2 linked regions of the Diceros bicornis minor genome follow. The protein of the gene in region 1 interacts with the protein of each later gene in a pairwise test. Links are inferred from orthologs where the notes say so. Each region holds a gene or a part of one and is shown in the gene's direction. Other genes may lie near its edges. The genes, in order: TSGA10 and CDC73.

The links.
Region 2: the proteins of TSGA10 (region 1) and CDC73 interact in binary tests that used the Homo sapiens proteins (3 or more experiments, as listed by UniProt). The two-hybrid records come from large-scale screens. The link is inferred for Diceros bicornis minor from reciprocal best matches to the Homo sapiens genes TSGA10 and CDC73.

The regions. Positions count from the first base shown.
Region 1 is NC_080779.1:14,242,928-14,246,838, forward strand, and holds the start of TSGA10 (testis-specific gene 10 protein), read left to right. Parts: upstream 1-843; 5' UTR 844-851; coding exon 852-908; intron 909-3,911. UniProt on the Homo sapiens protein: Plays a role in spermatogenesis. When overexpressed, prevents nuclear localization of HIF1A.
Region 2 is NC_080777.1:22,530,123-22,534,033, forward strand, and holds the start of CDC73 (parafibromin), read left to right. Parts: upstream 1-869; 5' UTR 870-1,219; coding exon 1,220-1,350; intron 1,351-3,795; coding exon 3,796-3,901; intron 3,902-3,911.

The DNA.
Region 1 (3,911 bases):
CAGGCTCCCCAGACTGCAGGCTGCCGGCGCTCACTCCAGCAGGCCGGCTCTCTCCCCACAGGCTACAGCAGCAGGACCCGACCTGGGAGGCTCCCCGCAAACCCTCCCCTGGCTGCGGCAGGAGAGCGCACCAACCTCCCAGCGCCCAGGAGCAGCTCTGAGGAGTAACGAGTTTACTGAACGTGGGTCCAGAATGGGGCCCGATCCCTGGGAAAAGCGGCACAAAGCCGCGGCAGCGAAGCATCAGGCGTTCCAGAGCCGAGGGAAGGCAGCCAGGGGCGATACACCCCTGCGCATGCGCGTTCTATCCAGGTGTGGCAGCCACCGGCAGGGAGTAAGAAAAAAGTCATGGAAAACGCGGCTGGCGGCTGGTTACTAGGAGACGGGACGCTCGGGTGGGGCGACTGGGCGCTGCGTGGGCGTGCGCCTGCGCGGCGTGGATGGACCGGGAAGAGGCCTCTCCACGGCGCCCTGTACGGCGGACAGGTGGACGTACGACTCGCTACGTACGTGGGTGCGCGCGCACGGCTTTTAGTCGCCGCGAGAGGCAGGGTCGAGCCAGGTACGCGTGCGCACGGGGACTGGGGGCGCGCAGGAAGGAAGCGGAGCGGAGGCGCCGGGGAGGTGGAGGACGAGCCCCCTCAGGTACAGAGCGTGAGGGCGGGGCCGACGGCGGCGCCGGCCGGCGCTAACCGCCCCCGCCTCCTTCCCGCCAGGTCCCGCCTTCCTCCGCCTCCACCGGGGAGGGGTCAGCTCGATTTGGGGGTGGAAAGAAAAGGGAAAGGGGCGGAGGATGATGACGGGGAGGGACCTGGATCCCAGGCTGAGGCCGAGGTCTGGCGGTCGCCGGGATGAGCTCCAGGGAGGACGGCGGGCCGAGAAGTCCCGGGAGGGACCCAGAGCTCCAGGTAGAGGCAGCGGGGCTGCGCCGGGTTGGGGTAAAGCAGCTCCTGGGCCAGAAGGCCTCAGACGGGGCGGCTGCAAGAGGGCGAGCGTGGCGGGGGTTGGGGGCTGTGGGTGACCCCCGAGGTGGGTATTCGCTGCTTGAGCCGCTGTGAGGGGCAGTAGCCGGCAGAGTTGCGGTCCGGAGGAGCCCTCCAGGAGCAAACTTTGCCCCTGTTGTTTCTTGGGAGCTTAGGGTTGATCCCAGTTCCTATGGTGACCGCTTCGCATCCTGCCGCAGCTCTCCGCTTGGTTGTTGGGGGGAGTATTCTGTTTAGAAACGCTCTGGAGTGGAGCTGAGGAATTTGGAAGTCAGAAATTTGGGAGTTCAACCTGGCTCTTCCTGACTCCCCACCTCTCACTTCTAAACCTCTTTATAGACTTTGGGAGGTGAAGGGCTGAGATTACGTAGGTATTTGCATGAAAATCTCGTATAATTTCAATAGAAATTATACACAAGAAAGGCAGGGCTGGCTTTTATTTGAAAAAGATATTTGAGACTTTAAATAACCAAGCAGCGATCATGGACCTGATACCCAAATACGAATAGAAATACATTTTTTTTTCTTTAAATAAAATCAGACATCGCGGCTTCAGGAAAAGTTTGCGTAGATGTCAGTGTCCTAGGGTTTTCCTTCTTCCAGTCTAGGCCCTTATATCTCAGGATATTTGTTGTTTTAAATTTCCTCTACTGGTTTTCAGCACTTTTTTTTTTTTTTACCTGTAAAGAAATAAATGACAATCGGTTTGTAACTAGAAGAAAATCGATTAGTTATGAAATATAAAGGTGTCATGTCGTTCAAATCTGCCTTCAGGGTAAAACTAATTCTCGTTTGGATTTTAACTGATCAGTGAACTAAACCCTTCAGTCTTAATTAGTGGGAAATAACTAGGAAGGTACATTAATGAAATATTTATTTTAAACAATAAGATTTGACCTTGTTTAATAGCAGCTTCCAAAATATTATTGTTTTTTGTTTATTATTTTGTTTACCTCCTGAAAAAAAGCACTGCTTATTGCCCAGCATATAATCAGATGTAGAGATTCTCTGGGCTTTCTGTCTTCTTTTGCAGTTGCTTAGATCACCTTGTTTTAGGATAATTTGTTTTTAGAGTACTCCATATACAGAGGCACTTAAAGCAGGTGTTACTATTCATTCCCTTTTCCAGTTACTCACCCCTTCCCCCCAGATGTAGCCACTATTCTGATTCTATGATAGCCACTTCCTTGCTTTTCCTTATAGTTTTGGTATCTTTGTATGTAAGCAAGCACATTCTAGTTTGGCTTGTTTTTGAACTTTATGTAAATGGAATTGTACCACTTATTCCTTTACATTTTGCTTCTTTACTCCATATTATGTTTTTAAGATTTATCTTTGTTGCTTGTTGTTTAGTGTTACATTATAAGAGTATACCACAATTTATCTACTCAACTGTTGGTGGACATTAAGGTTTTTACAGTTTTTGGTAAATAGGAACAACACTGCTGTAAACTTTCTTATACATGTACTCCATGATAATCTTTTGAAGTGAGCTAGTTAGTAAGGTAGTTCTATTTGTCTTAGTTATGCTGTTAACAACAGTCTATATATTACTAAATTCTTTTAGTTCATAAAAGCCTCTTGAAAACAACTCTTTAACCTCTTCTTATAGTTCCAAGAGGTCCTGATAAATGATACCTCTCCAAAGGCCATTGGAGTTTTTGTTTTTTATAATGATTTAATTGAGGTCATATTGGCTTACAACATTGTGTAAATTTCAGGTGTACATAACTATATTTCAGTTTCTGTATAGACTGCATCATGTTCACCACCAACAGTCCAGTTTTTATCTGTCACCATACATGTGTGCCCCTTTACCCCTTTTGCCCTCCTCTAACCCCCTTCTCCTCTGGTAATCTGTTTTCCTTATCTATATGTTTGTTTGTTTATCTTCCACATGTGAGTGAAATCATATGGTATTTGTCTTTCTCTGTGTGACTTATTTTGCTTCGCATAATACCCTCAAAGTCCATCCATGTTGTTGCAAATGGCACAATTTTGTCTTTTTTATGGCTGAGTAGTAGTCCATTGTATATATATAGCATATCTTTATCCATTCATCCATTGATGGGACTTGGGTTGCTTCCACATCTTGGCTATTGTGAATAATGGTGCAATGAACATAGGGGTGCATGTATCTTTTGGAATTATTGATTTCATGTTCTTTGGATAAATACCCGGTAGTGGGATAGCTGGATAATATGGTATTTCTAGTTTTAATTTTTTGAGAAATCTCCATACTGTTTTCCATAGTGGCTGCACCAATTTGCATTCCCACTAGCAGTGTATGAGAGTTCCCTTTTCTCCACATCTTCTCTAACACTTATTTCTTGTCTTGTTAGTTATAACCATTCTGATGAGCATGAGGTGACATCTCATTGTAGTTTTGATTTACGTTTCCCTAATAATTAGTGATATTGAACATCTTTTCATGTGCCTATTGGCCATCTGTATATCTTCTTTGGAAAAATGTTCATTTCTTCTGCCCATTTTTTTGATTGGTTTGTTCATTTTTTTGTTGTTGAGTTGTAGGGATTCTTTATATATTTTGGAAATTAACCCCTTATCGGATATATGATTTACAAATATTTTCTCCCAGTTGGTGGGTTGTCTTTTTGTTTTGTTGATAGTATCCTTGGCTTTGCAGTAGCTTTTAGTCTGTTGTAGTCCCATTTGTTTATTTTGTCTTTTGTTTCCCTTGCTAAGGCCATTGTTTTATGCTCCTTTAAAAAGACAAGTTATTTCTTTACAGTCTAGTCTGGATTGAGGAGAAGTGAAGAGCTTGGGTTCAGCTGGAATGACTGGAGAGAGTATTTCTTTTTCATAAGAAAGGTTAAACATTGTGGCTTTACTGTTTTGTTTGAAGTGAATTCCCAAATCATTTATTCACTTATTTTTATTATAAATGCAGAAACGTATCGCAAAATT
Region 2 (3,911 bases), on another chromosome or scaffold:
AAGTATGGGTCCCACGGGATATGTTTGATTTAAAGTATACAGGCCACAGAATATTGAATTTATTTTGTTTCCAGCACAGCAAGGACCCCCTCGAGTCTTCTGAGTGCCAGTAAAAAATCAAGTAATCCAAATCCAATCCAAATTCTAATTTGGACATTTTGGGCTGTGTTCTCTAACTTTCCCATCAGCATCCTGGAAGAGAGCCATTTAAATGTAGTCCTTTTTGCAGCTGGCAGGGAGGAGAACGGGCCAGAATGGAAAAAGTCATCATCTAAAGAATTGAACGGGCAGAGCCATCATTTATGATACTTGGATGATTTGCTAGACTCTTTCAACTTACTCTCATCCTAACTCCATTTTCTCCATTAACCAACTGATGCTGTGAGAAGGTATGTAACTTGACGGAGGTCAAACAGCCGCTAACAAATCTCGGTGCCCTAGACTGACCTCCGCTGGACTCTGTCTTTTCCACTATGTGAATCCACCAAAAACAAAAAACCTCCAAACCAAACCTTCCCCCCAAACCTCCCCCTTCTAGAGGGGCTTAATCGGCTCGCTAAGACCTGGAGGCCATTTGCTAGGCTTGGGTCCGATCCAGATGGGAAGGGAATCTCAGTGTGCTGCACATCTTTTGCCAAACTCCACCCTGGCCCAAGCTGGGACGCGAGAGCCCCGGGCCGCCCTCAAGGCGCGTCCTGGAGCCCCCAGCGCGCACTCTAGGAACAGACGCACTGGCCTTCCGTGCAGGTGCGCGCGCACCTGTCGCCCGCCGCATGCGCGCCGCGGGGCAGGAGGTGCGCGCCCGGCGCGCGTGCGCCCGGCAGTGCTCCCGTACGTGCGCCGCCCGTGGGCGCCGTGTCTCCGCGCTCCGAGCTCCGCGCCGGGAGTCGGCCCCGTACCGAGTGCGGGCTGGGCGGGGCGTGTTCCGGGGCGCTCGCGGCTCCCCCTGGCGGCGGCCGGGCGGCGCTGGCGGCGCGCAGTCAGGCGTTCTCCGCGGGCAGCCGGCGGCGGGGCCTCGCCGTCAGCGCGGGGTCCTCGGCGGCCTGGGTGGTTGCGGCCGCGGCTGCTGGCGTAGACGAGGGCGGCTGCTGGCGCGGCGGCTGGTGCTCGCGGCGGCGGCGGCGGCGGCGGAGGGAGAGGGCGCGGCGGCGCGGGACGAGGGAGGCCGGCGCGGCGGCGGCGGCGCCCGGGGCCGGCGGCGGCGGCGCGGGGGGGGAAGATGGCGGACGTGCTGAGCGTCCTGCGACAGTACAACATCCAGAAGAAGGAGATCGTGGTGAAGGGAGACGAAGTCATCTTCGGCGAGTTCTCCTGGCCCAAGAACGTGAAGACCAACTATGTGGTCTGGGGGTGAGTCCGGCCGGGCGGTGGCCGGGGGGCGGCAGGGCGGAGCGGGGCGCCCCGGGCGACCTGTTTCCCAGCCCCTCCCCCCGTTTCCCGTGGGGACGGGGAAAAACGGGTGCTCTGGGTGGAAGTTCTTCTCTGGAGCAGAAGTTAGACTGGCAGGTGAGGAGGGCCCGGCGGGCGGCGTCCGGAGTGCTCCATGTTTTAGGTCCTGGGGACGCCGCAGGGAGGGCAGCGGGGCAGTGGGTGCCTTTCCCGGATCGTCTCCCCCGGCGGGTGAAGGTGCGCGAAGGAGCGCCCGTCCCGCCCCCCGCGCCTCTCCCTGTGCTTCAGTCTTTCCTCTCTGCCCGAGGCTGCGTGTGTTGTAACTCTCTCTGCTGGCCCTTGCGGCTCCCGGTCTGTCTCTCCTCTCCTTTCGTGATTCGCTCCCGAAGAGAGAAGGGAACCGACTCGGTGAAGTTAGGACGGGAGAGGGGTCTGGTCACTTAGGGCGAGTCACCCGAATCTGTGCTCGAGGCGAAGGCAGGAGTGTCCGCAGGGAGCAAGTTACTGTGAAGGGCAGTGGGCTTTACAGAGCGTGGTATGCGATTTGGGGAAATGTTTTGAAGAGAAGTGTTTTGGAACGTTGATCCACGTGGGGCTTTCTGAATTTGTCTTTAAGGAAAACGTCTAGAGAGAGGCCTGGTTGATCATCGTTTGCGGGTCTTTTCAGTGATGTTTCTTTCCGTTGATGTTTTTTTCTGGGAGTAATTAGGACCTTGAACCAGAACTTCCATACCCATTTTGTTTGATTGAATGGGAGCAGTGGGCTTTATGAAGAGTTGGTGAAAAGCTAGGGGAGATTTAGTTTGTTGGTTGGTTTTTAGTTTTTGTTTTTTGGCCTGGAGGGGTTATGGTTTAATTAGCTTTATGAAATGTTGATGAAATGACATCATTCTGAGTTTCCTGTGTTTTGTCCTTCTAAAAGAATTTGCAAAGCAGAATTATATTTGATTGGAGTTTTAACTGTGTGTGTGTGTGTTTTTTTTCTTTAAAAAGTGGTTAAGGAGTACTCAGGGTGTAGGGCAGCTCAATCTGAGAAATAGAAAAAATTGTTTCTTAGTACTCTGATCCCTTACTCAGAGGAGGTTAACTTAATCAGAATAGAGGAGATAAAACCTAACTTGATATGAATTGCAGTCCAGCTCTTAACAGCTCTTAAGAAAAGAGCAGTCACTTCTAGCTTGGATATGAGGTAAGGTTTCATAGAAGTGTTTGGCATGTAGAGATGCTGCAGATTTTTCTTGAATAAATGAATGAACAAATGAATAAGCTTTAAAGAATGGGTAGGAATTCTGAGGGTGAAATGGTGGGTTAGATCTTCCAGGACCGGGGAACTGAGTGCTTTTAAAGGCATGAGAGCTGGAAAGGAAATGTTTTGACAGCAATTCAGTGAAGCCAGGAGTGAAAAAGGAATGCTTAGAATAGTAGATTTCAAACTTTTACAACAGTGAATCACAGCAACAAATACATTTTCATTTACCATTCATCTCTGTGTGCACGTGTAACTGTGTACACATTTGTTACTTTAAACAGTACTTACCCTTATTGCATGCAAGGCAGTCTATTATTTTGTTTTTCTATATCATGAAAAAACCCTGGTTGTTACCCATATGTTAGATTTCAGAGTACAATAATTGGTAGTGATGTGTGATTTGAAATATGTTGATCTAGAGGAAAAGTGGAAATAGAGGCTAGAAAAGTAGGTTTGGGGCTGATTATACTGGGCCGTATTCAGATGAATTCAAGTAATACATTGACATTTGTAGATGGGGAGAATGTAGTAGGCGGGGTGGGATTGGACGCTAACATTTGTTGTGCTTGTGTTAAAGAGCTTGCACCCTGAGACTACATTGTTTTATCACAGGTAGAATTCATTTTGGTTTTATATCATTGGTTTAATTTAATTTAATTTAATGAAGCATGTCATAAGAATTACACCTGTGAATTGGTTGTGTTTACTGTAAGAATGTTGTTAGGGATGTTGTTCAGCAGTGTCTTACTTAGGAGACAGGATACATTTCTTGTAAGTTTAGTAGCAGTAGTAGCAGTGCTTCTCCTCATCAGTTTGATTGTTTTCTCTTATGGATCCTCTCCAGTCTGTAACTGATTAGGTTTTCTCTCTGTTGACAAAGCCCAGAACCTAATTTGGGCCAAGTTCTAAAAGGTGTGTAGTACCTCAGAGTATGAATATGGTGTGCTTTCCCTAAGTCTTGCTCTGGTTATTGTCTGCCTTTGTGTTCCTTTTGCCCTAATGACAGTTCCACTTACTAGATTTCACACTTTGTTTTTGTTAGCCGTGTTAAATCCATTTTTGGATAGCAAAGTGACTATAGATCAACTAATACATAAAATTAAGCCCCACAAGTTGAATTAGAATTGTGAGTAAAAATCTTGTCTTAATTATTTCAGGACTGGAAAGGAAGGCCAACCCAGAGAGTACTACACATTGGATTCTATCTTGTTTCTACTTAATAATGTGCACCTTTCTCATCCTGTTTATGTCCGACGTGCAGCCGTAAGTAGAA